3 linked regions of the Drosophila melanogaster genome follow. The gene in region 2 interacts genetically with the main gene of each other region. Each region holds a gene or a part of one and is shown on either strand. Other genes may lie near its edges.

The links. Genes that interact genetically often act in the same process or in processes that back each other up.
Region 1: of tmod (region 2) and sals, changing one enhances a phenotype caused by changing the other (phenotypic enhancement), as found in Drosophila melanogaster (one study listed by BioGRID).
Region 3: of tmod (region 2) and DAAM, changing one suppresses a phenotype caused by changing the other (phenotypic suppression), as found in Drosophila melanogaster (one study listed by BioGRID).

Annotation. Positions count from the first base shown.
Region 1 is NT_033777.3:11,446,892-11,455,117, reverse strand, and holds the start of sals (sarcomere length short), read left to right. Parts: upstream 1-3,967; 5' UTR 3,968-4,029; exon of another isoform or gene 4,030-4,051; intron 4,052-6,755; 5' UTR 6,756-6,951; coding exon 6,952-7,999; intron 8,000-8,226. Other genes in the region: PGRP-LB (peptidoglycan recognition protein LB), read left to right, coding at 1,298-1,666, 1,819-2,111.
Region 2 is NT_033777.3:30,529,441-30,537,409, reverse strand, and holds the start of tmod (tropomodulin), read right to left. Parts: upstream 4,574-7,969; 5' UTR 4,428-4,573; exon of another isoform or gene 4,315-4,427; 5' UTR 4,125-4,314; coding exon 3,903-4,124; intron 1-3,902.
Region 3 is NC_004354.4:1,304,214-1,312,394, forward strand, and holds the start of DAAM (dishevelled associated activator of morphogenesis), read right to left. Parts: upstream 4,260-8,181; 5' UTR 3,911-4,259; coding exon 3,863-3,910; intron 633-3,862; exon of another isoform or gene 553-632; intron 148-552; exon of another isoform or gene 1-147.

The sequences.
Region 1 (8,226 bases), about 19 Mb from region 2:
GCACACAGACATACATGCAAGCAGTTTAAACTTGAATGAAAATAGTTTTCGGATTGGAGTCTGAATTTGCATTTATGACTCACGACAAATCGGGAGGGGAACCAGGGCCAAACGGAACCCCAGCTCCATTCCGCAGTGTCAACGGCCAAAAGCTCACGCCATTGATAGATGATACCCGTAGACCTGTAGCACCTGTTGCGATTCGGCGACTTGGCCACTTCCTCTGCCATTTGGCTTTTAAACATTTCGCATTGAGCGCTTTAAGCTGAGTCACGGTGATGCGGCCACCGGCCAGAACGAATCGAGTTTGCCCTACGGTCAAATGGACACATTCATATATCTGCATATCATCAGCGCGTTTGTAAGCAAACACAGCAGCGTACAGTCAATGTAAATATTTACTTTTGCTACCAAAGCGTTGGAATATATTTACCACAATTTTTTTTTTTTAATAATATGTACGCTTTTCCGACAGTATTTATTTTTAAACAGGTAAAATATCAACTATTTTGACAGCCAATGTATATATTTATTGGTTTTTGTTCCACTTAAAACGGATATGCCCAACTTTTACCAGGGAATGTCAAGCAAATATACATATCAAATAAAAATCACCTATCACAACAGCAATTTAGCATATTTGGTTCGCGCTCAGCGTCATCTGATGACGATCGCTATTGGCAATCGGAGCCGATCCGATCGGCGACTTGTTTTTCAGCCCATAACGGGGGTTTTCAGCGGCGTTGGGGAGTTTGTGGAGCCGGCCGAGCGTCAGTTGAAAATCGTGGGTCGTCGGAACCGCAGCCACCGCCGCCGCTGAAATCCGCAGACAGCTGCGCTCCGTGGGGAAACCGAATCCGCATCCCAGTTCGACTATCATTTATCAATGGAATGTGAGCGATGTACACGGTAGCAGAGCCGCAGACCACACGACTTCCCGCCCCTCCGCAGTACACACGCCCCCCCTTTTGCAATTAGGGCCAACAAATGCTGACTGTCTTGGAAGTGGCAAGAGTTTTTGGGGGCCAGATATAAAGTATGGCAAAAGTTAAAATTGAACTTGTTTGCGCCACGCTAAGGAATTCACGAAAATAAATGTAAACAAACAGCTCGCACGCAAAATACAATTTAAAAACCAAATTTTCCATGTGGGATGTACCCGAGCACACTCCTCAAAATTACAGTGAATCGACCGAGTGACTGTGTGTTTTTGCCAAATAAATTATAGTTTTTGTGTAACAAACAACCATGGAGTGAGAACCCAACTAATCCAAGATGACTGCATCTTTGTTTTCAGGCTATAGTCAGCACATGCAGCAGGCGAATCTGGGCGACGGTGTGGCCACCGCCCGCCTGCTGTCCCGATCCGACTGGGGTGCCCGGCTGCCCAAGTCCGTGGAGCACTTCCAGGGTCCCGCGCCCTACGTCATCATCCATCACTCGTACATGCCGGCCGTGTGCTACTCCACTCCGGACTGCATGAAGAGCATGCGGGACATGCAGGACTTCCATCAGCTGGAGCGCGGATGGAACGATATTGGTTATAGCTTTGGCATCGGCGGCGATGGCATGATTTACACCGGCAGGGGATTCAATGTCATCGGAGCTCATGCACCCAAGTACAATGACAAGAGCGTGGGCATTGTGCTGATCGGAGATTGGAGAAGTAAGTTAACTCCTAACTTTAAGAGGATAGATTTCTTTTTAATACCGTTTAAAGAGTCATGGAAACTCATTAGGTTGTTAATGAGCCTTCTTCCTTCTCTTCATTTTCTTCTTAAACTCCGTACTAATTACTTTTCCTTATTTTCCCTTTAGCCGAACTGCCGCCCAAGCAGATGCTGGATGCGGCCAAGAACCTGATCGCCTTTGGCGTTTTCAAGGGCTACATTGACCCTGCCTACAAGCTGCTGGGCCACCGACAGGTGCGGGATACCGAGTGTCCTGGCGGCCGCCTGTTCGCCGAGATCTCCAGCTGGCCGCACTTTACCCACATAAACGACACCGAAGGCGTCAGCAGCACCACGGCGCCCGTCGTGCCCCACGTCCATCCACAGGCGGCAGCACCACAAAAGCCGCACCAATCCCCGCCAGCTGCGCCCAAGGTCTAGGCTGGATTGGAGGGCCCTCATCGTCCTCGCAAAGCTTACGAGTTTAAGAGAAGCCACAACGAGCTCGGCTCCACGCACAACGCCAAGGAGTTCATTCAGTATTCATTAGATGTCTCTTCTAACATTTCACAAATAAAGCAATTTCTAGATGATAACACTTAAACATAACCCCCGCTGTTGCTCTTTGTGTCCGCACAATCGACCCACCGCCCCATCGCCCCCCGCCCGCGTTCGCACTTGTCAAATCAAATAGCAATTAATTTGTGTCAAATTCGATTTCGATGGCAGAAGTTTTTGGACGACACGCGGCGCTGAAAATGTCGGCGACCCCGGCGCATCGAAAGGTTTTTCCAGCCATTTGACATTGGCTCGCCATGCGAGGTGATGCGTAGTGGTTTTGGGGTCCAAAAGTACCCGCCAATCCTCACATGCGGACGAAACCATTCTGGGAGCATTTTGGGACTGATGAATTAATAAGACCCCGGGGGAAGTCGCATCATATTGGCATTCCAACCCACAGCGCAATTGCCTTTAAGCCTATTTTTAAAGCCCCCCAATACATATGCGCTGTATTTTGCCAAATGAATAAATATATAATTAATATTGCCGAAATGCTGTTAGATAGACGGACGGACGGACAGCAAAAAAAAAAAAAAGAATAGCAATGGCCCGTTTAAGCGGAAATTTCTCGGCTATTTTGTGTGCGCGGGAATGTTTGCCGTTCAATTTGGCATACTTTTCGGCTGATGCTGACAAGGCAAAACAATTAGTGGCGTGCTTTCGCGCAGATGTGTATAAAAAAACGAAATATTTGAAAACATGCCATTGATAACCTACATTGCACGTTAAATAAATATTTGCGGCAGTGGCATAGACTTTAATCATTTGTTTTCGCTCTGTTGCAGCTATTGGATTGATTTCGGCGGCAGCAAGTAACTCAGTAACTCTTTTTATCGAAAACGATTCGAAAATGCTATCAAAATTAAATTAGTTCAATCGAACACTCCTGTGGAAACTCGATATGCAAATGGCATACATTATGTTACGTTGATAAGGTGATAAGAGGCTTACTCACTGATTCAGCTTATATTACCAGTTCATTAGTATCATCACCAATCAATTAGTCTAGCAATAGTTCAATCGATAAAGGGGTCCCCAGCATACAGATACGCACTGATCAAACGATCGATCGATCGATTGCACCGCTCCACCGAAATGTGGAGCACACGCGAGTGAAACGGGGAAGCAACCACTTGGTAGACAATGTAAATATTGAAAGCGATTCGGAGAGAACGAACGCATTGGGACAGAACTGACCATCGAACAGAAGCACTAATGGGTTTGGACTTTCTAGACGAGTGGTTTCTATCACAGGGTAAGACGCACCAACCACCCATCCACCAAACCACCCACTCCCCCTGAAATTAGCTGCGACGCCCACGCCGCCCGAGAAACTTGCGTAATTGTGGTCCATTGAATGCGAGGCGCCTGATAAGAGGCCCCTAATGATGAGCGGATATCGAGGGGGTTGTATCCTTGGGGCACACGGGCCACATAGCCAATAGCCGGCTATTAATAATTCCATTGAACTGCACCTGCCATAAGGTCAATTGGATCCGCCGCGGATCCGCCCCATATCCCCCCAAACCCCCACAGACCGTGCCCACATATCAAAAAAGATGCTAAAAATATGCCTCTGTCGGTCAACAAAATTTTCATTTCACTTCATTTTGTGCTCACCGAAATACGACGAAGAGATAATGAGCGAAATCCCACGAGAGAGGAATTCGTAGAGCGAGCGGGAAAATTTTCAAATTTTTCACCCATCGCCGTGGCGTTGGAAAATGTATGAATTTAGTTTTTGAAACGCCGTCATAGGCGCTGCTGTTGCCTTCGCTGCTGAAAATTCACTACCAGAGTTCGTGGCTGTGTGTGTGCGGGTGTGTGTGTGCCTGCGGTTGTGGTGATGTGCGGGTGTCTGACCCAACCAGCACACACGTACAATTCAAAGAGATATACAACATATATATATATATATGAATATATATCTGTGCAATATATAGTACAACGACGCGAACGTGCTACGAAAACTGCAGCGAGCGCGAATGAACCAATTAATACACATAATAAAAATCTGAAAAATCCGTGAAATATCCAAAAATATAGCATATAGCCACAGACACAGATTCGTGTACATTTGGGCGGCAATATGCGCAGCTCTTGTCACTGGCCAATCGATCTAATAAATCTCTCTGGAGGGGCGTTATGAATGGCCAGTTCCCAAAATATCCCGTCCGATATATTTGTTTTTTTTTTAAGCACTTTTGTTGACAGGCAATCTTAGGATGAAATATGGCCGGGAATTAGCTGTTAGTTGCCATTCTGAGCACAGATCCGCGAAACTTTTGCGTCAAATTAGCCAGTCTCATTAACAATTTTAATTGAAATTGCATTTTTGTTTCGTCCTCGCCTTAACTATCTTCTGGAATCCTCTGCAATGTTCGAAATACAGTCGTACTTCGATATAACTTCCCTTGCTTCGTGTGCTGTCAAATGGTCAATGGATCTAATTTACGAATCTGATTCAATTGCCAACCATTAATTAGTAATCGATAAGCATCGCTTAAGCTGGGAGTGGAAACAGCTTAGAATGCATTCAAAGCAAATTGGAACTGACAGATAGGCAACCAAATAGACGTCGGAAAAGATACTTTCGTCGGTTATTCTTGCAATGGAAGTTTGACTGTATTTCTAAGTATAATTTTTATTTGCATGTCATGTTTAATTAACGCCTCCATGCAGGAAAGACCGAGAAAGTGTTCGTCGCTCCGGCCAAAAAAAAATTTGCAATCGCCCCAAAACGAGTGGAATGGAAATGAATATGGTGAATGTGGGGGAGGGATGGGCTTCGACGAAGGGGGTTGGATGGTTTTGGACCAGGCCATGGAATGGCAATGGAATGAAACGAATTCGGATTTCATTCTGACCCCCGAGAGCGCCCCTTCTATCACAAATTTTTGGCCTTTTTTTTCCGTCCGTACAACCAGTTTTGTGTACGTTTTTCTGTCTACTTTGTGAAACGAGCCAGTTGAATAAAAACAAAACAAAGTGAATGGAAAAAAAGGCGAAAGACGAAAGCGCCAGAGATATGTATGTTTCCTTTTATTCTTTCGATTTGGTTCCGTTTTGTCTCTCCCAATTGGGTGCTTCTCTTCACCGCCAGTGTCTTTCACTTTTTTCCACTTTTTCCACTCTCAGCGGCGGGCACAAAGAACCTAAAATTAAATATTTTCGCCTTTTACATATCGCAGCCAGTGGCAGAGCAAATCGTTTCTGTTATTGTTTTTGTTGCTCTATTCCCATACACCGACGCTGTTGTTGCTGTTGTTCTTTTTGTTTGTGCTGTTTATTGGAGTGCATATGTACGGACGGACGGACGGACACACACACATACGCAGGCGTTTAGCTGGACATTCACATTCACAGCACAGTGGCGGCCAACATAATAGTGGTCACAGAAAGTTGCAGTTGCAAGCGAGAGGAATGTTTCGCTATCCTTTTGCCCAATTAGAGCAGGAAAAGTTGCAAATTGTTGTTTACAATCTGCCCAGGAATGAGGTCATTAAAAATACATAGAAAAACGGCAGAGGAAAATCGCGAGCCAAAGAAAACTCAGCAAGAGCGAATAGTTTCCATCTTCTGCACTTTACTTTATCAGCATTAAGTCAAGCTATAACTTTTCTCGACCATGAGTAATTGATTTAAAATTCATTTTATATGTAAACATTTTTCGTTCTATCGTAATTGGTTTTCGTATGAAAGAAATATTGGAAATCACCAGCAAATGGCACAATATGTTTGTTGAATAGTTCGGCATATAATACTTTTCTGAAAAGTAAACATTCCCAAAGCATTTTCATTTCATCGTTTTCGTTCAAATTATTTAAATTATTTGACAAGTTGAAAGTTTATAAGAAAACCTTGTTATCTTGACGGATAGGATGATCTCGATTTTATCGATTGCTATAAATATCCTGGAATTTAAACATTTGGCTGCAACTGTAGGCGTTTTTGTGAGAGCCTGCAAAAGCATTCCACTCAGTTGGGATTTGTTGATGCATTTGTCCCGGTCCCCATTGCCGACCGCCATCATCCCCATATCCTCTCTACATTCCTATTTCCATCACATTCGGCATCTGTGAATGTCCCTGTCCATGACTATGACACAAAGGCCTACATTCTGTCTCTTAGTAGAAACAGCGACAGAAACAAGAAAAACAGCCAGCAAAGCTAATGAGCGCATTCAGTTAAAAATAAAATTCAAAATGAAACATACCCAAATATACACGAAATGAAATGAATTGAATCGGATTGAAAGTATCTCAAACAGCTGTTGCTCATCGTCGGCAACGGACCACGAATAAAATTCCCAGCAACAAATTCGCGACGAAAAAAATACATAAAAATCTATTAGAAAAGAAATACGCGTAAAATAGAATTATCAAGGCGAGGCACATACACAAAAAAAATCAAAAAACAAATAGAAAAATAAACGAAAAAAATTACGGAAAATCTGAATGAAAGAACTTTTTCGGACAACTTCCCCCGACGGTGCTAATGTGCAAAGTTTTGTGTTTTCATCAGCAGCAACGCCAAGAGAAGCGGGAAAAACAAGCAAAGAATTCACGGCAAATTATTTAAAAAGAGTGTGCGAACAGACGGGCGACGACATCGGGCCCTGGAGAATTTAACACCAATAAGACTGGAAAAAAATATAAACCACCAGAGGGAATAGTCTAGAATAGTCCGGAGGACCGCAAGCAGTTCGAGCGACTACGAAATGCCGTTTGTGACGCCCCGTGCGGGGACAAGCAGTGCAAGCAGTGCGCCCGGCGGACGCACCACGTTCCGTCCGCCATGGGTGAAGGACGACGGCGGCACCAGTGGCACCAGCAGTACCACAAAGCCCACTGCCACTCCGTGGGCAAAGAAAACAGCGACGACGACGACCGCCTCTCCGGCAACAAAGGAAAATGGAGAAAAGCCGACTGTGGCCAAACCAAAAGCAACTGCTACCACGACTGCAGCCGCGAGGAAGACTTCGACCCCTGAACCGGCTAAGAAGACGATAGAGCCTGTAAAGAAATCTTCACTGGCCACAAGCACAACGGCGGCCAAGAAGACACCAGAACCCGTAAATACCAAGAAAGCACCGGAGCCAATCAAGAAAGTGGCGCCCACCGTGGGGCCCAAGAAGCCAGTAGCCACCACTTCAGCGCTCAAAAAGAAGAAGGAGCCGACACCACCACCCGAATCCTCCTCCGAGGAAGAAGAAAGCGAGGAGGAGGAAGAGACCGAAGAGGAAACCGAGTCTGAGGAGGAGGAAAGCGAAGAGGAAAGCGAGTCCGAAGAGGAGGAGAGCGAGGAAGAGGACACCACCGTGGACGAGAAGGTGCCCGAGCACGTGAAGAAGGCGGCCCAATTGCGACCCACCACCGTGAACAAGAAGCCGGAACCGGAAAGTGAGTTGACCCAACGTTTTACCATGGAGAAACCCAAATTACGCAGCGTGGTGGTCAAGCGGGATAAGTCCTTGAAAAAGATGGCCACCGAAGACGACGACGAGGCCGAGGAGGGCGAAACGGAGGAGGAGCGCGACCGGCGGCGACGTTTCAAATTAGAGAAGCCCAAGCTGCGGCATGTCAAGCGCGAGGAGAAGCCTTTGCCCAGCAAGAGCACCGACGACCTGGCCAAAATCCGGCCCGTGCTCAAGAAGGTACCCAAGATCGATGAGCTCCTCAAGGAGCCGAAAGAGGAGCCAAAGCCCGAGTTCACGACCAAGACCCTACGCAAAGCGTCCATAAAGCGCGAGCCGAGCATCAAGAGCGGTAAGTTGTCCGATCCAAATCGATCCGATCCGGAGCCAGCTCCAGTGATGGAACCTAACCCGATGCCCGACTGGATTAACCCGATTAACCTCTGCGAATGGATCGACTCAACAAGCGCTGTAAATTTTTGCCCCTGCTTCTTTAATGTCTAATTTCTAACCAGAAATGTTTAATTTACGTTGCGGGCGGCTGTGGGGATATGTATTTTATATTTTTACGCTTTCTGC
Region 2 (7,969 bases):
CCGTTGCGGCAGGTCAAAGAATTGGATTCGAAGGAGCGGTTTTCGATTTGATCTGGATAAATAAATAGAAGGGCAAAGTGTTTGAAAATTAAATGAAATATATGCCAGTCATAAGGCGGATTTTCGCCAGAGTGAGACAGCGCGAGCGGAGCGAGAGAGAAGGCAAACCGCTCGGCAAAATAAATGGCACGTTCATCATACGCCCCGTGTACACAATTTGGCAGCTTTATTTATATACCCCAGCATGAATGCTGTAGCATATACGCCGCACATATTCGCCTTATGTTTTCACGCAAAACGTTTGCTTTTCAATTATATAAACATATTTCGATTGTATTCAGTGTTCAGTGCTCAGTGGCGGGGCCAGTGTGTGCATTAAAATTATAAATTGTTTGAACAGCCAAGGCACAAATAAATAAAACACAGAACCGCGAACGAGGCGAAGCGAACCGAAATGAAAGCGAAGCGCATAAATAACTGACCAAATGTACTCGAAATTTGGAGGTGGGTGTGGGCTTCTCCTCTCTTTTCCGAGGGAGTGGAGGTGGGACCTGGGAAAATCTCCTTGGGAACTGCAACAAGTGAATGGAAGCTAAGCGAGCGTCAAAGGCCAAGAGACGCCTGACATTGAAATGTCGTCTTGTTGTGTCACGCCTTTCAACCAAACCAATACACACTTTGCCATGCACTGCGAGAAATCGTTGGGGAGTGGCCCTTTTTTAGTACCACTATTTGTGGTAACATCCATAACTCTCGATCTTTTCAAACTAAACAACTCGGGTAAAAAACCTATCCGGTATATGGTATATATATTAGTAACGAATAATACAAGTTTTAAACCCTAAAATCAAAAAATATCTCAGTGTAGTCACACACACACAACACACGTTTCAGTGGCTGCCAGTGAAATATATGTTTGGACTTCAAGAGGCGCCACCGCGTTGACAGCTGTCAATGAAAAGGGGGTGAAGGGCGCAGGGATCTGTGGGAGTGGCTGGTGGTGCGGTGGGCGGTGCGGTCGGTGGTCCAGGCGACGGGATAGTGGGTGGTGCAGAGACAGCTGTCCCTGCGCTGATTAGCGCTGTGGTTGGCCGCATTTGCGGAGTTCGCTGGCAAAATTCAAAACAATTTAATATGCCAGCTAGCGCAATAAAATCATCGGGAAAATCGCTGTGGTCCACGACAACCAGCGGAATATCCGTGGCCAGGCTAATCGGGCGGAAAACTCTGAATGGTTTTCCCCGAAAACATCACCAACTACAATAAATCCGTTCGGAGCTGAGCTGGCCCCTCACGGATTCCAATTAATCTCCGTTCAATATTATGATGTCTAATCAAGAGAATACTGGACGGGACAGCAGGACAATGGACGTTGGAGGCCACAGGAAATTCCATTATCCCAGCAATCTCCGCATGGGGCTCATGTGTAATATGGATGTGGTGTCCGGTTATGTGAGTTTACGGCTTGTTGCACAAATTAGCATGCCCCATTTGATTGGAACGGCGGAGCTGAGCAAAGATTTGCTTAACTACATTCCAGTCGGCAGGAATAATATGGCCGAACTTTCCGACCGCAAAGTCGCTCGTTTGGGTGTTTATTAAATAGTGGTGCATTTCCATAATGTTTGCATTAAATGGCGCATAATCAGATAATTTAATAATCGCAAATTGGGCGTATTTGATGTTGAATTTTCAGTGACAATAGATTGAGAGTTCGATTTTGTTGAAACTAATCAATCATGAATATTCTATGAATATTTTATTCAATTTAGTCATTCTCTTTAATATTTATTGTTTAGTTTATAAGCAAATACACAGAGGCTTGAACCATACCCCGCACCGCACAAATTACCGTCGTTTAATGAGCTAATCAAATCAGGAAACAACGGTGAAATCAACTGTGAAATTTATGACAGTTTTCCGCTTCGCCTCGAATTAAGGATAACGAAAGGCAGTGGGGATGGGGAGTGGAGAAAGTGCCCGGCGTATCTCCGACTTTATTTAACTAATTTTGCATTTTCAACTCAAACTCGACTTTGGTCACGTATCCCTGCGGCTGGAACTTTGACCTGTTAAGCGCATAAAAATGACAAAAACGGTACGTGACTCATTAGCCGCTTTCGCCCAGGAAATGCCGCCGGGAGAAAGTGAGCGGGGAAAGCTGGCTTGGGCAGTTCAGCAGTTCAGCAGTTCATGAGCTTCGGCAAGGAAACCGGACTTTGGCAGCGCAATTAGTTCGGCAAGCTGCTCGGAGCGAGGCACATACGATCCTGTTTTGTGTATATGGCAACATATGCCCTGGCAGCAGCACATCCTTATCCCTGCCCCATTCGCAGGACTCCGGCTGGCTGAGCTCATGCGTTTTCATTTCCATTTCGGGCCCATAAAAACGGCAAAACGGAAAAACGAGAAAAGGCCGAGAGGCCGACCCAAAAAGAAGTAAATTGCAATGCAAATTTAATTTGGCTGCCATAAAACTCGACGAAAGAAAAACGGGCGGTGTTTTGCTTTTCGCCCGGCGAGGGGCGAGGGGGGCCAGACAGTCGTAAAACAGCGGCGGGAAAATCGAAGACTTTCTGCGGGGTTTGGGGTGGGGTAGCGGTAGTGGGGAATACGGGTGGAAGTGCGTGGCCGCCGCGCCAAGCCGGAAATGCAATTTGTAATTTTGTGCAACGATTTGTGGCAATTAATTGCTGCCCCACCACTTGCACCACCCGCCCCATGCGGCACCACCCAACTTTCGCCCAGTGCGCGCCAGACCGCAAGACACGGAAACCTCAATATTTATTTTTTGTTTCGCCTTCTTCTCGATGTTTTTTTTGTTTTTTTTTTTTTTTGGTCTGATACTTGTTTTTTTGCCTCTGCATTTGTTGGCGGCACAGAATTTATTGCATTTAATTTTTTTGCCATTTCTCTTCGAGTGTGGGGATTTTTTGGCATAGCTCGGCATCGAGTATTTAAGTGATTTCTGCTTAATAATAATTTAATTCCCAGCTTTTTTTATACGCCATGCCATTTGAAATCTTTTGTGATAATTTGCGCCGAAATCAAACAGCTGCAAAATTTGTATTTTTTGTTGGCTTTCCCCCGGCAACGTCGCCTATAGAAAGTGTGGCCGAACATATACATACATATGTATATGTGTATATAATCGCCTATATGTCCGTCTATATCTGTGCCGCGGTGTGTGTGATGTATAATGTATGGGAAGATTTATAATATTCGTGGGACCGTATAAACAATTCGCTAAGACGCACATAGAGAAATGGCACTTGGTATAAATAATGTATAGCCAGAGTTCGCCATGTTTTGGCCAATTTCACAAGCGAGGAGACCAGTACGGCAGAAGATCCCTTCAGAATATGAGAATAATGATTTATAGTCTTTCATAAGCCAAACGATCGGGGGTGGCCAACTATTGAGGAAATCATTCAGTTTTGGGCGGATTCTTTGGTTTAAACTTGTAGTTCCGTAAGAATATTTTCGGAAATATGTAAAATGGAATGTCATTTACTTTCGCAAAAATATGCGATGTTTTTATATAAATTCAATGCAAAAACAAGATGTTGTTTTGCGGCATATATCCCCCCACCAAAAGCTTGGTAAACAATACTTGAATCGAAAATATTTTTATAAAAATTTCCATGCTTAATAAATTTTAACGAACTGTTCTTTAAGTTGATTGCGAATATGCACTTAACATTAAAGCTTTTGGAAATAGTTTCCATTAAGAATTTCCCAAGTTCCCGAATTTTTATAGCTTCTTGAACGGTTTTCAAATTCAGAATACATATTGATTTTCATGGCTATTCGAATTATGTTTGTACTCAGCACACGCACAATAAGTTAGTTAATGGATAATGGCGGCTATTAGATGGATCCATGGGTCAGAGTTCACTCACCTCAGTGATCTTCATGGTGCGCTTCACCGTTTTGCGGGTAACTTCGGTGGTTTCCTCCACGACATCGCCATCCTCATCGATGGTCTCCGTTACCATTTTCTCGGTCTCGCCGGGAATCACCTCCTCGGTGTGCTCGGTGACCACGCTGGTTTTGCTCTGGGCATCGGGTTCGGGCTTGGTCTCCTCGGCGGAGCCACCGAAAACATCCTCAATGTCCGACATTGTCTCTGATTTATATCCTTTTCGATTGGAGTCGAGCTGATTCACTTGGCTTTCTCTCACGTTCTTGTGTTCACTTTCACTTGATCACTGGATCACTGATCACAACGATAACACATAACACGCAGAATTGCTTGGGTTTTCTTCTTTCTTATTTTCTTTCTTTTAGCCTGAAAAATACAAACGACCAGAGCTAGAAAAATGAATATTTTTTGTATATTCCGCTGGGCTTTTGGCAGCCGCTGGTTATTATATAAACAAGAGGAATTTCACGGCGCGCTGGTTTTTTAGTAACTTGTTTTCGACCTAAGGGCGGTATATTTAGAGGTACTGTAGATCCTTCGTGGTTTACGCAGATGCCTGGAGCCTTCGATCCTCTCGGGAAGTGCTCGATTATCGAACTGTAAAAACGTAACGTCGACCAGCGGCCACGAAAGGCGCGACAACAACGGAGAACGGAGAATTACGGAACAATGGGACTACGGAAGAACGGAACAATGGGACAACGGAATAACGTAGAGCCGTGGTGACAAAAGGCGGATAAAGCGAAACAAGTTGAAAGATGGAGCTATCGAAATCCCATCACATCACTTCAGCCTGTTTCGAAAACAAATCCGGAATAATTACGGAACAACGGAACGCACACGAGGCGAATTACACGATCACGGGTCTTCTACTTGCTGCCTCCGTCCTAGCTTCTTCTAATTCTTCTAGTTAGAATCTTCTGCCGTCTGCCACCGGAACCGACGCCGGAGAGCAGAGCGAGACGGTCTGAGTTCCGGAGGGTCTAGTGGGGCAGAGGCCCCCAATGTGTTAGCCGCAGGTGCGAGCGGGACGGCCCGAGACCCCCAGCGCTCGGGAGAGCGCCAGCAATTCTCCACACTCTCTCCTCCACTCTCACTCTCAGTTCTCTGCCGATCTGCTGCCGCTGCTGACGTCTGCTCAATTTTGAACGTTGATCTTCGTCGCGTTTCAAAAGTTTTTTGTTGCCTTCGTTCCGATCTTTTCTACACTGTGTGCCTCTACACTGAGAGAAAATCCTACCAAATTGGATTTACATTTAGAAAGCTTTATTTGGTAAAAAGAGGAAACTATCTGACAATATTTCGTATGTTAAAAAGTAAAAGTACAAGGCTGTGATCCCACATGTATCCTAATCCTTCCGAAATTGAACTCCAGAGTTCTATAAAATATCAAAATATCTGCAATGAAGTAAGAAGTGAGTTAACCATTTTTCTGAGTGCAGTATTTCTGTTCTTTCTTTGAGCAAATGTGAAATTTGAATGCGAATGAGTTCGCTCGCTAATTGTCCGCCTGTTGCAATTTCTTCGTTTGACCAGGCGAATGCAATTAGTGCGGCTGCCGGACGTCTGAGGCCCGTCAGAATGTGAAACTCCGCCGTGAAGTGCCAACACTCCTCATTCGCCATCTCATATGGTCTGTACTCCCCTTACTCCGCATACCCCCTACTCTCCATACTCCCCGTCAAAGACCCACGCACTCTTCTCGTCAATGTGCGTGGAGCTATTTTGGGTGGATTTAACAATAGACAGAAAAAAGAGGCAGCCAAGGATGAAGATAGTGATATCTTCCGACTTTGGAATACCTAAAAAAGAGATTTTGATAGTAAGAATAGAGTTTTACAATAAGAATTATAGAATGTTTATTCAAGAAGTAAAAATATCTTATAAACTTGAATTTAGATAGATTTTAAAATTAATTTACAAACCAATTTGTCCACTCTATCAGAGGGACTTACTATCCCCATAAGCCCGTGTTGCATTTCCCTTTTTCCAACATTTTTTTTCCAATAAGCCCAGACATCTCATCGATACCCTCTGTGGGCAAACAACTCTGAATCGGGTGGAATACATTGGGCTGATCCGGCTGGCCATTTGGCCGGGCGGCATTTGACGCCGTCTTTTCCTTTTTCATGCGCTTTTCTTTTTTTTTCCTTTATTTTCCGTTCGTTTTTTTCCCTTTTTCCTTTGCCGTGGCCAGCGTTCGATGTGCGAGTGGAGGCAGTGCATCACAGCCAGCGGGGCCTGTACAGGGTGCCTTGTGGCAGGGGCATCTGTCGGAAGATGCCCATCTCAAGTGATTTCACCTTCTGCCTTCTGTCCGATTTCTGATTTTGTGCTGATTCCGATTTAGATTTTTGATTAGCGAACGCTTTCAATTGCTGGCATTTGGGGGCTTTAGTTTTGACAGCGATGTGCGGACTTCCTGTATCGCATCGCGGACTGCACAAGATATATGAAAGACAAGTGTTTCGAACGGACCCCCGGTTTTCCCCGCAGCGCTGTGTAAACAAAGCGCCAAGCACACGCAAGACGGAATATTCTAAAATTAATTCTCGAAAATGTCTTTTCAGCTCGGCAAACGCAGCGACATGATGCGGGACAAATGCCTGAATATAGATACATCCAATGGATGTGTCTCTGATGAGCAAATGCAATTATGTGGCATGGGATCAGGGGCAGGGCGGAGTTGCGGGCGCTGGGTAATGAATAGAGCCACGAAATAGAGCAGCAAACTCCTTCGTATTCCCCTCTCGACGGTCCTGTTCTGCATCTGTGTGTTTGGATGTGGAAAACCACACTGATGACAGACAAGCCACGGCAGAGGAAGCCAAAGGATAACATGAGATAACACACATCAAAAGCCACTCAGACACCCACACACGAACAGCGGGGGTTAGGCAAATAGGATGGGTTTTAAGGTAAATAAGGATAATGATTAATCAGTCATATGCAATGATATATCTGTATGATTTCATTTTGAGATGCGGTTTATGTTATACTTAACTTACTTGCTATAACACACTTTTAATGCATTTTATTCGAATATGTTTTAAGTGCTATATTTTTGGAGCCCTCTGTGGATGCACGCACATGTGCTCCCCATCACAGCTGCTCGTGATCCTTTGGCGACGAGAAATCAGCGCTCAAATATGATTAATAAGTAATTTCTTTGTCAACAAGTGACTGGGGATGGCCTGCTATGACGACAGCGGCGATAACGACAACGAGAATGAGAACGGAACGACGCCATGGAAATCTTTAATAAAATACATGCATAAATAAATTATAGGGCAAGCAGAGGCGAGGAAAAACAAACTGGATGGAGATGAACTGCTCTGAATGGAGGCAAACTGGTAATAAAACAAAGCGGTGACGGCAAAGACATACAGAAAGATACAAGATACAAAGGGGTGACATGTGCAGCCGAGGCGTGACCGCACTTCCTTTTTTTCCGGCCATATATACAGGAACCTCTCCACATTGCCTTTTCCCAGCCACTTTTCAGAGCTCCTTGGCCTTGGCGTTTCCCTGTTTATTTCACAGTTGTAAATTGCACAAAGTAAATGAAGTGCTTTTTATTATAATCCAACAAGCTAACGTTGCCTGTTTTTAGCACAAAGAGAAAAGGAATATCTCAAAATGTTATTAGATTATATGAGAGTCATAGGTTCTCTGGAACTGTAAAATATAAATTTCAAATAGCACAGCGCAAATTCAAGTCTGCAGTTTGCTGTATTAAATTGATTGCCGATTTTGAATATATTTTTCTTTGTGTACTCCTCCCATTCCGAGCTTTTCCCTCCCTATATCACGAGTTTTCTTTGAATGCGGCCCGCTTGCCAAGTGTCGTTGACTCTCGCTGACCTAGAGGGAAAATAAAACCAAGGGAAATGCCTTGCCAAGATTCATGTGTAGATGATTCTGGGAAATGAAGAAAGTTTCAGTCTCGACATGCAGAAGCGGAAGGCCCAAAAACGATTTCTGTCAACTTCTGGAGAATTTTCATTGCCTGCCGTCCATTAATTGAGCTGTTGGAGGGCTGGT
Region 3 (8,181 bases), on a different chromosome or scaffold from region 2:
TAGTCTGTGTAGTATGGAGTCTGAAGTCTGCAGTCTGGGCATCCGCCGGCAACCTGTTTTGGCCTGACTGACTGCCCGCTTACCATGATTATTGTGATTATTGGCTGGCGGTCGAGGGGAAAACTCTGTGGCGCTCGTATCTCGAATCTGAGCGAAACCCCAAAACACACAAATTGAATAGGAATACGAAAACGAAAGTGAAAATGTTTATCGAAAAGGGAAACGGGGAAAAACAAAGCAGAAGATCAGCAAAGCATAGATCGTGCGCTGCCCCATCCCGCATTTCCTAGCACTCTGTCGTCCAGTCAGTCCAGTCAGTTCAATGCCGTAAATTAAGCTGGCAATTTCTTGCTTTGTTTGTCGGTGAAATCTGCCTAACAAAGAAAACTCCTGCCCCTGCCGTGAGTGCGTGGAAAGCGGTTGGACCGTGTTGAGGATGGTTGGGATTGCCACCTCCATTGCCGAGTGGGGCAGCGGGTCAGGGAAAACGAGCTTGACCTTAGGCCCCTGCCGAACGAAACCAATCGCGATTCCAAACTAACTGAACCTCACCTTGTTTTTTCGCGGCGGCTTCTTGACTTCAACTTGCACGGCTGTTTGCATCTTCCTGCCCCAGAACTGGGTTCTCAACTGGGCAAAGTTTTTGGCCGAGATCCGTATCTTATCCAACTCGGTCCAAAATATAGCTATATTTGCCTTGCTTTGCATGTTTACTTGCTTTGACACTGACAATGATACGCCATCCAAGATGCGGAGATACTCAGCGAAAGAGTGGAAGAGCAAGGTGGCGGGGAATCTTATCACAGCTGATGTGATAATTACCCAGAGCAAATACTGAGATACATGGTATTGTACTATATATATGGAACTCCTCGTTTAAGGTGTATTTATCGTTTAGATTTCTTGTTCACATATAATTTAAAAAGAATGTTCATCGATCGCTTTCAGCTCATTTTATATAAACGAGAACCTAATATGTCCCGATATGGTTACCTTTAATTGCTAATTGCTTGGCTTATGTGCCGGACATCCCATCCACATCCGATCCACGAACAAATGCGTTATCAGCTGTCAGATGGGCACTTTCACTCGGAAAAAAAAAGGCGAAAACAAAGGAATTATGCTTTTCCAGTTGATTAGTCGGGTCAGCGGCGGCTAATTCATGTCCGCATAAATTTCAATTCAAATCTCTGACAAACTCTGGAAAGTTTCGGAGCGTAGGTGGCCCGCAAATGGATCGCATTACATGCAGATACTTTGGTATCTATTGCCATTAGGAATGATGAAGTAAGTCAAACAAGACGGCCAGCTGGAGTGGAGTAGAGTGAATTGCATTGGATTGGATTGGATTGGATTGGAGAGCAGCGGTCTCCGAATCCGAATCCAAGTCCAAGTGGATTAAATCGAGCTGGAGTGGGGACTTCACATGCAAATCAGGCTGAGACAGGAAATTATTACACACTTTTCCCAGTCTAGTTTTGGTCATGTGCTGGTGGTGCCTGGTTTCGGTTGCTTTCGCAGCGATTCATTAGCATTGCACGGCTTCCGTATATGGGCTCCGAAAATGTATAAAGTGTTCGTGTGCGGCCAGGCCTATGCCCAATTGCTATAGGGTTATATGGCTATATGGGTCAGAGCTTCCCGTGTCTAGGTAGTGATATCAATCCGTTATCGGGAATCAACTTTCTGTGATGCGGTCACCACAATCGAGGAGACGGGTGGCCGGAGACCTTGGCGGTCTGTCTGGATTTGTCTAGGGTTCGGATTACGGACTATGCCATATTATTATTTCATACACTATAAATACACTATAATGCAATAGATATATTTTTTTTTTTGTAGCAGACTTTGGCATAGCCCAAGAAATACTAGCAGGCCTTGCAGCCTCAAGCTGAAAGTGCCACATATAAATAGCAGGTAATTGGAGGTGAGCAAGTGTGAAGCCACCGGTTGAGATAATTTAACTATCCATCCAATGACTTGGCCCACATTCCAGCTCCAGTGCTCGTGAGAATCGAGTCCGTCTGCTGAATGCCCCCGTATCGCCTCGAACTACTCCGTGGGCTAGGCCAATGTCAGTCTGGCCTAGCTAGCCTAGAGCCTAGAATCCGCCAGCGGCTTGCGTCATAAATAAGGCGGCCACAGGCCAGACGAACCAGTTCGCGAGCGGGTTTGGCGGCAGTTGCAGTTGCAGATGCAGAAGCAAACAGTTGGCCGAGATGCAGATGCTGATGCAGATGCAGATTATGCAACCTGCGCATTTCGTGGAGAAAGCTCAATGGAATTCTAGCGCAGATTGCGGTAGTTGACGTCACAACGGAACTTGCCGTTAATTATTGGTCATTCGTTGGGGATAATCCCTCCAATCGCGAATTATGATAGCCCCCATTCCCTGCCCCTTCCCGTTGCCCAACTCCCTCTAGGCGTCAGTGTGTCGCCAGGAAGTAAACTCAGCGCAGCCCGAAGTGGAGCTACAAGTCATTGAAAACCCACACAAGTAGAGCGTAGGACAGACAAGTGGTATTATGACATTTCCCAACCAGCATAGAGGTGTTGTGTCAGTTGAGTTGGTGTAAAATATGCGATAAATGCCATTGCTATGCTGTGCAGTATTTGTTCTTTTTCCTTTCCAAAGCCATACATACATTTCGATGGACTTCAGTCAGCTGGGTTGCTATAAAGCTATTGCAGTTGCAGTCTTCTAATTTCATGCCGAATCCAAGCCAGGAGCTGCTTCATTCATCGCAACCAATAAGTGCTGGTCGAGAGTGCGAGAATGGGATAGCATGGGATGGGTCTTGAGAGGATCCAGCAGAGGCTCGACCGTTCAGATTGCCCAACTCTTACCCCCCATCGGCATTTCTACACTCGCACACAAGAAGGCAACCGAAAATTATTACTAATTAATTATTGTTGCACAAACAGCAGACGCCTGGCTGCAGTGCACCTCGAGTACTTTCGGTACCTCCAATACCGATCCCATCCCGCCATATAATTTGCCGAATTGGACGTCGGCCACTTGTTTGTTTTTCGTTTGATTTTTGTTTTATGTTTGTTATGCGGCGCGCGGCATTTCGTCAGCTCATTCAATTGAAGCTCATTCAGCCGCACTTAAATCAGGGGCGAAGTGAGCGGGGGAATTGGTGGATTGCGGGATGGCGGCCAATGGGCACTTAATTTCGCTGGAGCGCATTTCACTTTCATTTCCACACAATCAAAATACGTCGAGTACCCGGGCATCGGACATCGGGCATCCGAGCATCGGGGATCGGGGATCGGCGATCGGAGAAGGGGGACTGGGAAAAGTGAGGCGCAAAAATTTCAATTTCATTTTATTTATGAGCGTCTAGGCGACACTTTTGAATGCAAATGACGTTAAATTGTTGGTCAAGTGAGAGCGGACTCTCGCTGCCTATTCCCCCTTTTCCCTGCCCCTCATCTACTTCGCCCCCCCCCCTCGATACGAGGCTCACAGACAGCAGGTGGAAAACCTTAGAGGTGCAGCAGGGAACTGCGTGACGAAACCAAAGCAGTTAAGAGGGACTTACCCTTCAGCCAATAACTTTTCTTCGAAATTGCAAAAGGGGTTGCGAAGTAAAAGCACAGAAGCTAGACAGACTTCCTAACCAAACAAAATAGTTTATGAATATAACAATAGATGTATTAAATGTACAAAGTATTCGAGGCGACAGTGTAGCAAATAGTTTTCACACCATTTTACTGGGTTGCACAAAAAGCGATTCAATTTAACGAAACAACCGAACCGAATTCGTGTAAAGGTCCACTCTTTGGCAGGTTTAAGTGGATCGACCCAGAGACCCACTAACGCCCCCAAAAGCCCAGAGAATCCCTTGGCACTCACCGTGTTGATCTTATCCATGAGGACACTCATTTGATTCATGCTCGACATAATGATACTGCTCTGTAGCACTGGAATTCGAATTCAAAAACTATAACTATAGCGTTGCAAGTCTCTTCTGCCGCGGACTGGGATGCAGCACCAATTCGCACATCACGCACTGCTCATTGCCAATTCACTTGATGCAAAAAAAAATTAATCCGAAGAAAAAAAAAATTTTAAATTGACATACAAAGTGTATTCAAACAGTGTTCGTTCGCTTTGCGAAAAGCACACGCGCGCGCGTATTTCCAATTTCCGATTTAATCAGTTCGACTTCTATATAGCCTATAGCCTTAGGTTTTGCTTTCCATAGCCGGTCTCTGTCTGCCGGATGACTTGACCCGCTCGCGTGCGTTCTTATCGACGGCTGGCAGCGCATTGAACGCTCGCCGCTCAAGACGTGCCCACGGCAGCGGCGACTTGGCCAAAAGCAACACGACGAGCACGAGCACGTCGCCGCGGCAAGCCGAAGAAGTTGGCCAAGACAGAGTGGCAGCGACAGGTGCCAGCAGAGAGCCCGAGAGCCGGAGCGGGCTCCAACGCGAACGCGAAACCGGTCGACGGCAGAAAGCGGGCTCTGAGCCTATTCTGTGCCTAATGCCGCAGACCCCACTGTGTCCCAGTCTCAGTCGCACTCCCGCCCGCACACCGCTCGCCTTGGCTCGCGGATTGGGGCCGCCTTGGTGGATAGTGGGTGGTGGAAGGTGCTGCATTTCCATGTGCGTGCGGGGTGCATTCCTGGGGTATTTATGAAATCACAAGGGCTGAGACACTTGAAGAGATATCGAGGTAATTATGGGTGTGAAACGAAGAGCTTACTGCTACGAGCATTTAGAAGACCAAGCGGAGCCTAAGGTCCACGATACTGGAATACCACCTGCGATTCATTCCCAAATGCAATCCAACCAGTGATAGTTTAACTTCGAAAGGAGACAACTAGCCGACCAATGTAAAGGAGTTGGAAGCATGAAACCAAGCCAAGAAACAATTGGACAGCCGAACTGTCTATCGAACAACTTAATTAGCTCTGGCAAATCAGCCGCACACAACAGACAATTGTTAGTCCGCTCGATAAGTTGTTCGGCAACATGCACATAGCCATGTTCACCGGTAACTTTGGCAATTGTGGGCTCAAAGCCGCCAGAGTCGAAGTCAAAGTCAAAAACAATTTAAGGTCGTCACAAGTAAAGTTTGTTATTCCCTCTCTTTTGTTTCGATTTTGCAAGTGTCATGCAAAAAATAAAATATCATGGCAATACCGCCGTGTAAAAACACCGCCTCTGCCCCTCTATCTCCACTTCCCGATTTTCAGCAACGATTCTCATCATCTCTTTTTTTTATGTAACGGTCCTTATTAGAGCCAATGTTGTTGTCTTATACCGACGATCATTGGCCAAATACCGAATGCTGACGGTCATTCAATTTGGAGTCGACGGCATGAGGTGGCCATCCGTTCTTTAGCTGTTTTGGCTGGATATTCGCGCCTTTTTTTTTTAGCTTTTTGATACCCTTAACAGTTGAAGAGGCAAATGCTATTATTATTTTAAAACCAATTTGATGGTGTAACCATCTTCTACCACGTCTAAATTTTGATCGTTGAAAATAGAAGAGCGACTATTCAATGATGTATCATACTTATATTTATGGGCTGTAAAGCGCACTCATTTTCCGATTTTCTAGACCTATCGAACATTTACCAACTGCCTCCTCGGCAGCGAACCGTCTTCAATGACTTCTTACTCACCTGTTGTTGCTAATTGGCTTCGTTGTTGGGATTAGTCTTTGGCTGCAAGTGGAAAAGAGGAGAACGGCGAGAAGCAAATTAGTAGGAATCCGTCATAGTCATAGGTAGTCGGAGTGGTAGTCTCCCTATTGATTAATGCAATCCTCACAGCCCGAGCCAAATCGAATCGACTCTCCCATTTCCCATCTCCCATTTGCTACTCGAAGGGCTTTTTATGGGTGTTGTGCCAACTCATCCGAAAGCCACCACGCTTCGATCGCAATTACTTGGCCATTATGTGATGCAGCCAGACATAATTTCCCATTAGCAGCTTTTTGTCGATGGGCCAAGAAAACGTGAGCATGAGGCAGTTCGTAATCACTCAAAGAACCCACTTCATTTCCCTGGCTAATCTGATTTGGTTCGCCCCTATCTCCAGGCACAACCTCTGCCCAGCCCCTTTTCCATTTCCAGCTAATCGCAGATGCTCCTACTTCATCAAGTCTGCCTCCGCCCGAAATCTTGTAAAATCATATCCATATCATTTTTGAGCTTGAGCTGACGAAATCCTAAAGTACAGAGAAGGTGTTTAAAAACATTGGTTGAAAGTGAAATTTTGCCCACGGCCGCGTCGTCTTCAATTTGTTTATTTTCGGCTGTTTAAATGAGTTTTCAATTTCACTAGAAAGCATGAAAGTACGGCCTTTTAATATTCTTGCCGGGCAGAAATCACAGCGAAATGGAGAAATACACAAACAATTTATCCGCCTGTTGGCACCTGACATGAATGAGTCAAACACAAGTGTTTGCTCGCCCCGTCCTTTTCCTTCGGACTCTCTCTCTCTCTCTTGCGCACGCCCACTAAATCACAAGTGTGAGTGACGAGTGGAAAGGGTGGAAAGGGTAGGGTTAGGGGTGCAGGTGAAGGGCGCGATAACTGATGTGATGCGGCTAATCTGCTTGCCAGTTTCCTGAGCCTTCTAGGGGAAAATCAAAAGACTTAAGCAACGAACTTGGGGAACAACGCTAAGGAAACAACAAAGCTGAGTAAAATAAATCTCTCGATGAAAGTGTATTATAATAATCACTGACAGCTGCCTCTCCCAGCGGCGGATCACCCGCATCTGTGCCACTCGCTCGCACATCCGTCAATTGGCCCGACTCTTTCCGGCTTACGGATTTCTGATTACGGCTCAGCGGCCCGCGGCTTCTTTGGCCAAAACGGGCGAGGAGTTGGACGAGCGACTCTGACAAATTGATATGCACATTCGGCGACATTAGCATATGTCGCGTATGCCTTAATTAACTATTCCGCTCAGCTAATATCGGTTTCACCCACCCCACAAGGGGCGTTTGGGGCCCTGCTGGTAAATTGTGGACTTGTGGATGACTTGACGCACGAGTATTTCAAATTTTTAAGAAAGTCTCGCCAGCACTTCCCATATGAAAGTTTTGCTCAGCGGCGCGGGTTGAATGACTCAGAAATCAAAATAAAAACTAAAGATAACTCTATAGTCGAGTGTCGCGACTATTAGATACCCGTTAATCAGATAGTTCATCGTAAAAGCAATAAAGCAGTTGCATGCAGAAACTCAATGCTTTAACATTGCAATGAACTCAGTCTTAACAGTCCGAATTTGAGTTTTCAGTGAATCTAGCATACCCTTTTACTGTGTTACGAGTGACGGGTATAATTAAATTTGCGTTTTCTTGTTTTCATCGTTTGCCAATAAACATTTTAGGGGGCGCAACCTAAGTGAATAGGTAAAAGTTTCCTAGTTGACATCATCGACCAGGCCACTTGGATTGCAGAAACCTTTAATTCGCCATTAAGTGTGCAATTAAAGTATATACATATAAATGCCATTGGAGCATTGAAGGGCCTCCGAAAAGGTCGTAAACGAATCGTAAATTGATTACCAAAATGCATTAGATTCCCTAGCCATTAGTTTTGCCCTTTAGCATACCATTTCCCTGGAAACCAAAGTCAAGTTCAGAATCATCATTTCGCCACTTAAGTACTTTGGATTTACTTTTAGTAGTTTTAATTGTTGATGCTGAAATGACGCAGCGAACAACACAACGATATTAATGTAACAGCAGATGCAAAAATACGAATACGATAAACTGCGCTGCGGTCGTAAAATTATATTTATGTGCTCAGAAGCGGGTGATGTGGGGGGGGGGGAGGTATTCGGGGTTTTCGACTGCGGTTTTCCATTTTTTCATTGCCGGAGGAGGGGGGGGGGGAGAGGGATTGCATTAAAAAACGTGAGTGCGTGAAATGCCTACAACAAAGTCAAACATTGCATCTGCTGTCTACCTTTTGGGTAATCATTTCAGTTGTCCAGTTGTTATCGCTGATTTTGTTATTGTTATTGTCGATCTCTGTTTTTGGGGCCAACGAAATGTGTCAATGCGGGATGAGCGTTCCAGGTGGGAAAAAAGCCATTTCGGTATGTTTTGTATTGGTACTTCAATGCCAGCGCTCTAGTAGGAGGTTGTCAGCCTTGGCCAAATCGATTGCCATCGAAGTTGAGCCTTCTGCCTTACCAGA